2 linked regions of the Macaca fascicularis genome follow. The protein of the gene in region 1 interacts with the protein of each later gene in a pairwise test. Links are inferred from orthologs where the notes say so. Each region holds a gene or a part of one and is shown in the gene's direction. Other genes may lie near its edges. The genes, in order: DRG1 and ZC3H15.

The links.
Region 2: the proteins of DRG1 (region 1) and ZC3H15 interact in binary tests that used the Homo sapiens proteins (3 or more experiments, as listed by UniProt). The two-hybrid records come from large-scale screens. The link is inferred for Macaca fascicularis from reciprocal best matches to the Homo sapiens genes DRG1 and ZC3H15.

What each region holds. Positions count from the first base shown.
Region 1 is NC_088384.1:20,204,907-20,208,729, reverse strand, and holds part of DRG1 (developmentally-regulated GTP-binding protein 1), read left to right. Parts: coding exon 1-22; intron 23-3,221; coding exon 3,222-3,389; intron 3,390-3,657; coding exon 3,658-3,780; intron 3,781-3,823. UniProt on the Homo sapiens protein: Catalyzes the conversion of GTP to GDP through hydrolysis of the gamma-phosphate bond in GTP. Appears to have an intrinsic GTPase activity that is stimulated by ZC3H15/DFRP1 binding likely by increasing the affinity for the potassium ions.
Region 2 is NC_088386.1:82,082,762-82,086,515, forward strand, and holds the end of ZC3H15 (zinc finger CCCH domain-containing protein 15), read left to right. Parts: intron 1-547; coding exon 548-671; intron 672-2,364; coding exon 2,365-2,555; 3' UTR 2,556-3,184; downstream 3,185-3,754. UniProt on the Homo sapiens protein: Protects DRG1 from proteolytic degradation. Stimulates DRG1 GTPase activity likely by increasing the affinity for the potassium ions.

The sequences.
Region 1 (3,823 bases):
TTGATGTGGTGGAAGGAAACAGGTACTGACTGAGTGTGCAGTCTGTGCCTGACTGGATTGGAAGCCTTGTGATGGAAACAGTATTGGATCTTGAATTTGGCAGAAGTTTATCTTAATTCCAGTTGTCCTACTATTTTTTTTTTTTTTTTTGAGATGGAGTCTCACTCTGTTGCCCAGGCTGGAATGCAGCAGCATGATCTCAGCTCACTGCAACCTTCACCTCCCAGATTCAAGAGATTCTCCTGCCTTAGCCTCCCGAGTAGCTGGGATTACAGGTGTGTACCACCATGCCCAGCTAATTTTTGTATTTTTAGTAGAGGTGGGGTTTCATCATGTTGGCCAGGCTGGTCTTGAACTCCTGACCTCAAGTGATCCGCCTGCCTCGGCCTCCCAAAATGTTGGGATTATAGGCGTGAGCCACTGTGTTCAGCCTGTGCTACTATCTTAAATGATAGTGGGCTTTGGTTTCTTTCTTTCTTTTTTTTTTTTTGAGGTGGAGTTTTGCTCTTGTTACCCAGGCTGGAGTGCAATGGCTCAATCTCAGCTCACTGCAACCTCTGCTTCCCGGATTCAAGCGATTCTCCTCCCTCAGCCTTTCTGAGTAGCTGGGATTACAGGCATGTGCCACCATGCCTGGCTAATTTTGTGTTTTTAGTAGAGATGGGGTTTCTCTATGTTGGTCAGGCTGGTATTGAACTCCCAACCTCAGGTGATCCACCCCACCTTGGTCTCCCAAAGTGCTGGAATTACAGGTGTGAGCCACTGTGCCCGGCCTTTTTTTTGTTTGTTTTTTTGAGATGGAGTCTCACTCTGTCACCCAGGCTGGAGTGCAATGGTGTGATCTCAGCTCATTGTAACCTCCACCTCCCAGGTTCAAGCGATTCTCCTGCCTCAGCCTCCCGAGTAGCGGGGATTACAGGTGTGCACCACCATGCACAGCTAATTTTGTATTTGTAGTAGAGATGGGGTTTCATTATGTTGGCCAGACTGGTCTTGAACTCCTCACCTCAAGTGATCCGCCTGCCTTGGCCTACCAAAATGTTAGGATTACAGACATGAGCCACTGCGTCCAGCCTGTGCTACTATCTTAAATGATAGTGGACTTTGTTTTTTTTTTTTTTTTTTTGTGAGACAAGTGTCTCACTCTGTTACCCAGGTTGGAGTATAGTGGCATGATCTTGGCTCACTGCAACCTCCACCTCCTGGGTTCAAGCGATTCTTTTGCCTCAGCCTCCTGAGTAGCTCGGATTACAGGTGCCTGCCACCACGTCTGGCTAATCTTTTGTATTTTCAGTAGAGATGGGGTTTCACCATGTTGGCCAGGCTGTTCTTGAACTCCTGACCTCAGGTGATCTACCTGCCTCAGTTTCCCAAAGTGCTGGGATTACAAGTATGAGCCGCTGTGCCTGGCCCCCGCCCCCTGGTTTTGTGTTTTTTTTTTTTTGGAGTCTTGCTCGGTCGCCCAGGCTGGAGTGCAGTGGCATGATCTTGGCTCACTGCAACCTCTGCCGCCAGGGTTCAAGCACTTCCACTGCCTCATCCTCCCGAGTAGCTGGGACTACAGGCGTCCGCCACCACACCTGGCTAATTTTTGTATTTTTAGTAGAGATGGGGTTTCTCCATGTTAGCCAGGCTGGTCTCTAACCTCAGGCAGTCTGCCTGCCTCTGCCTCCCAAAGTGCTGGAATTACAGGCATGAGCCACCATGCCTGCTGGCTTTGGTTTCTTTAGCTCTAAACTGAGGGATTCGTTTTGATTTCTGACATCCTTCCTTGCTTTTAAATTTAATTGTGATGGTCATATTCCCCATTTCAGTTTTTTTCTTTTACAGCCTCCTCCTATGAAATTCTCCATTTCAGTTACTTGCTGTAAACTAAGCTGCCCCCTAATCTTTGTCATGTGATAGTTGAAGAGAGTAGTAGGTGAGTCTGCTCTTCCAGAATTAATCCACCTGAGAAGTTCTATAGGCTGTGTCCTACAGAAGTCTGAGCCGGCCAGGCTGTGTTTGTTTTCTCCATCCTAAGAGTATGTAGCTGAGTATCTATTTCATGATACATTACTTTTTTTTTTTTTTTTGAGACAGGGTCACGCTCTTGTCGCCCAGGCTGTAGTGCAGTGGTGTGATCACGGCTCACCACAGCCTTGAACTCCGGGCTCAATCCATCCTCCCACCTCAAACTCCTGAGTAGCTGGGACTATGGCCGTGTACCACCAAGCCAAGCTAATTTTTGTATTTTTTATAGAGATGTTGTTTCCTCACCTTGCCAAGACTGGTCTTGAACTCCTGGGCTCAAGCAATCTGCCTGCCTTGGCCTCCCAACGTGTTGGGATTATAGGCATAAGACACTATGCCCAGCCCATTAATATTATTGAGACTTGAATAAGTTAAGTCACTGTTAAAATTCCTTGTAGCATTTGCATATAATATTTTTAGTTCTCCTAGTCATTTGTTCCTGTATGTTGGATGAACGTATTTACTCCTCGTTTGAAAACAAACAGAAGCCAGTGTTTTCAGTTAGGCATTTTACAAGTGAGGCAGTTAAACTGTGAGAAGTTGTGGCTTGCCTAATTATTAGTAACCTTAGCTGTCATATTCATTGGACACTAGAAATATGACATTGGTAGATGTGATATCATTTTTACCAATAAATATTATTTATTGTACCAATAAATAAAACATTTTTTAGTCTTTAAATATAAATTATGTTTTAAAACAGCCATGTAGGAAACTGACTCAGAGGTTAAGTGACTTTCCTAGGGACACATAACATCACCTCTTCATATCCACAGAGGATTGCTTCCAGGACCCCTTGCAGATAATGAAACCTGCAGATGCTCAAGGCCCTTATATAAAATGATATAGTACAGCTGATCCTCCGTGCCTGTGGGTTTTGATCTGCAGTTGGTTGAATTCAAGGATGCAAAACCTGCATATATGGAGGGCCAGCTGGGATTAGAATCAGTCTGAGCACTTCAAAGCTTGTGTTCTTTCCACTGCAGTATGTTTTCCCAGCAATTATCTTTATGTCTGGTACTAGGGCCTGACTTTTGTTACTTTTCAACCCATAGTTCACTTTTTCTTTTTTCTTTTTCTGGCTGATCTGCTACTTATGATTCCTCTTGAGAGCGCCAGTTGGGTCTGGGTGAGGGTGTGCTGTTCAACAGTCTGACAGTTTGGTCAACAACTCCAGACTAATACCTGTTTTTCTTCAACTTCTGTAGAGTTTATATCCCCTGTATCTATGTGTTAAATAAGATTGACCAAATCTCCATTGAGGAATTGGATATCATCTATAAGGTGCCTCACTGTGTACCCATCTCTGCCCATCACCGCTGGAATTTTGATGACCTATTGGAAAAGATCTGGGACTATCTGAAACTAGTGAGAATGTAAGTCTTTGTGGATAGGGTAATGTTGCTGTACGAATTAAACCAGACCGTCCTAAGATGACTTTCTGGAGCTCATTAACAAAATCTGGCTCTTTTTGAAAATATAAGTAAATTGGTTCCTATTATCTACTAGGTCATATTGAGGACACTTTTTCCCTCAGGTTGGAGGTTGTCCTGGTCTTATGTCAGGGGTGATGGAGGGTTGCTATACATTCAACACATGAGATATTCTAAGAAGGTGGTAATCTTTATGCCCTCTCTATTCTAGTTACACCAAACCCAAAGGCCAATTACCAGATTACACATCCCCAGTGGTACTTCCTTACTCCAGGACCACAGTGGAGGATTTCTGCATGAAGATTCACAAAAATCTTATCAAAGAATTTAAATAGTAAGTATCATGGGCATGTGGTCCCTCCTTTTTTCTATAAGTT
Region 2 (3,754 bases), on another chromosome or scaffold:
TAATTTTTGTTTAATATTTTATGTTTAAAGTTATGGGACAAGTGCACTAATTTAAAACTACAGTGTAGGGAGCATGAGACAATAGCACAGTCATTTGGTTGTTGACAGATTTAGTAATAACAGATAAGTTACTATTCATTTTTTGTGTACCTACAAAATTCTGGCCTCTGGGTTGAAAGAAAAAAATCGTACTCTATATATAAAAATGTGATGGCAGAGGAAGAAGGTTCATATACCACCTTGCTATTCTTTTTAAAAGAAACTTAGGAAAAATAATTTTGACAATAGATCTTTTGTTTTTGTTTTTTATAGAGACGAGGTCTGGCTTTGTTGCCCAGGCTGGTCTCAAACTCCTAAGCCCAGGTGATCCTCCAGCTTGACCTCCCAAAGTGTTGGGATTACGGTTGTGAGCATCCACACCTGGCCAGTAATTGGTCTTTTTTTTTCACTTGGATCAGTGATAATTTTGGCTAATTAAGATAAATGTCAGGAGTAAAAGAAAACTGTTCTTATTTGTAACAACTTTCTTTTCTATATGTTGTTAAAGGTTGATGATTCAGTGAGTGTAAATGACATAGATTTAAGCCTGTACATCCCAAGAGATGTAGATGAAACAGGTATTACTGTAGCCAGTCTTGAAAGATTCAGCACATATACTTCAGATAAAGATGGTAAGTATGCTAACTTTTGCCTAATTTTAAGAACTAGGAAATTATCTATAGGGGGTTATACCAGACTTGGCAAACTTAGATGTGTGCAGGTACCAGACTGGTAACATAAATGTGTGGTTTGACCATATATAAAAAGAGTAATAAATAGTAAAAGGCCAGACATGAGCAGCTGGGTATATATTAAAATCATTAATGGAAACTAGAAGGAGACATAAATGAGCTTGGAGTTAAAGTCAGTAAGTTCACTTTGAGACCTCATGAGTTTGAGATTTTTTGATTATCAAAAGTGTACTGTCTGGGATATTGTATAGACATGAACACCCTGCAAAACATCAGTGTTTTGGGGTAGGTAAAAGAAGAAATACTAAGGAAAGACATTGAGAAGGTCAGAGAAAAATTAAGAAACAAGTTTCCAAAGAAGCAAGTAGGATGAAAAAGAATATAAATAAGTTATAGTTGTAATTGGTTATAGGAATAAGGTGCCAGTTTCATTGAGACTGCAGTGATAACAGTGAGAAGAAAAATGAATGCAGTCCTCTCTATCTTAATGTGTAGAGGGAAGACATGGTCATGGAAGGGCTTTTTAGGATATGGAAAACCTAAATGTATCTGTAGGTCAGAGGGAGAGGATCTGGTAAGGAGGAAAAGTTGCTAATAAAAGATCAGTTATAGAAGTAAGACATGAAAGTATAAATAATGAGTTAGGTATGAGAATGGAGGGAAGGCTATCTAGGATTGTTGGTATAATTTATGTCTAATTGTGCCTTGAGTTAGGTACTTAAAGAAAGGGGTAAAAGTTTGGGAGAAAATGGCAGAAGAAATGCCCATTAAGGCAAAAGCCGAGACAGACAGAAAAGTCTGAACTTTATTTTTACAATAAAAGCACACAAACTATAACTTGAAAAACCAGCTTGCCCTCCCAAGATCTGAGAGTGTTAGCAAACCACTGTCTTGCCTGTATTCAGATTGACTTGCTCTTTGTAGAAGTAGGGGCTTTGGTGACAGTAGACACAACTGTAAATAATTCAGAGATTATAAAATTCCCAAGACTTTGTCTTCAGAGATGTTTGAAATAGCTAAAATCTAAATTAGGCTGTTAAAAAATGTCTGTGTAAATGTTGATGGCATTGAATAAGAAAAGGCAGCATTTTTTTCCTCTCAGTTATTTATAATCTATAAGGAAAAGTAGCTGTGTATAGCACTATGTTTTTTCTTAACAATTTGATTACATGATGAAGATTTTCTGGTGTCACAATCACAGCATTACAACAGCGTGATTTAAATACTATTGCAAAACCAAAAGCCAAGTAACTGCTTATATTACAAACACTTTTTTTGTTTCTATAACCATTTATTCAAATAAAATATTGTATGGAAATTAACTATTTAAAATCGAATTGCTAGGTTATGTCGGGAACACAGAGGTGTAGAAGATTGACCCTGTCTTTAAATGTATAAACCATTAAGTAGTCAAATGTCTACAGTGAAAAACAGTATTTTATACTAGGTATAGATAATTGGCACAAATAAGCTCAGAAAAGAATGATCAGTTCTTGCTGGAGTAATTCTAGGGAAATGGCTTTCATGGAGAAAAGGAAAAGAGGAAGTGTAGTATGAGTCTGTGTTGTCTATTGCTAATGTAGAATGTTGTTTTCTGCTTCTATGCCTTACTGATTCCAGTTTTTATTTTTAGAAAACAAATTAAGTGAAGCTTCTGGAGGTAGGGCTGAAAATGGTGAAAGAAGTGACTTGGAAGAGGACAACGAAAGGGAGGGACCGGAAAATGGAGCCATTGATGCTGTTCCTGTTGATGAAAATCTTTTCACTGGAGAGGATTTGGATGAACTAGAAGAAGAATTAAATACACTTGATTTAGAAGAATGACATCAAACACGTCACTGAAAAAATTAAGTCAGCTCAGCATGAGTTGAAATTGACTACATTAATTTCTTTCCACCTAGAATCAACAGGATGTTTATTTCCTATGCTGATTCTGAAGGAGTTAACCTCCTGCGAAAAAGGAATATTGTCCCTACATCTTCTCTTCTGACTTTGGCTACATCTCATAGTAAGTTCAGAGTAGTTCATGATAAATTGAAAATATAATGGTCATTGCAGAAAATGATTGATTGTTGTAACTGTCCACCCAAGTAAGAAGTGTATCTGCTTTTCCATCTTTGGTTTTCATTTGGGCATGTGCTATTACCAGAAACAACAAACTTACATTTAAAATACCCTTCATTTGACACAGTTTTTAATGAGTGATTTCATTTCCTTTGTATTTGTATGTTTAGAAGACTGCCTAAAACATCAACACTGTACTTCATAAAGGAAACTGCATATGCAGATTCAGTATTGTATATCTTTGGACAATTAGATGGACATTTAAAATGGAACTTCTTATATCTGACAGGATCAGCTACAATGCCCTGTGTTAAATTGTTTAAAAGTTTTCCCTTTTCTTTTTTGCCAATAAAATTGTAAATAAAGACCATCATACATTAAAATCCAAATATGGGCCTTTTCTTAAGTTTTTCTATGAAAAATTTAACATTTCTAGCTTGAGGATTTAAAATACCTGTTAATAGTATCACATAAGGCATTGTTTCTTAATATTTACTACAGAAGCATCTAGAGTACTTGACAGTACTACGATGAGTTTAATAACACAAATACTAAGCTTCCAAAAAGACTATAGGTGATGTTACATGAAAGAGTAACTTCGGAATTGATACAACATCAACCTAATTAAATATCACCTGCAGTTGAATCAAGTACTGCTTAAGAATCGTTGTTGAGATCCATGGTGTTAAAATAGTACATACTAATGTAAGTATAAACAAATTCACCAGAAAACTTTGGGCTGAGGGTCTTTGGCACTAAGATCCCCTGAAAAATTAGGGTGATAATACATTTAAAATAGACACAATTTGCTCATGACATATTTAATACTGGCTACACCTTTTTTATTGTTGTGTATTTTCAAATAATATGCTGCTTTTGTTATTTGCGAATATAAATGGATTTTAAGACAACTAAGATAACAGCACTAAAATGTCAGGTGAGCTGGGCCCTAATCTCAT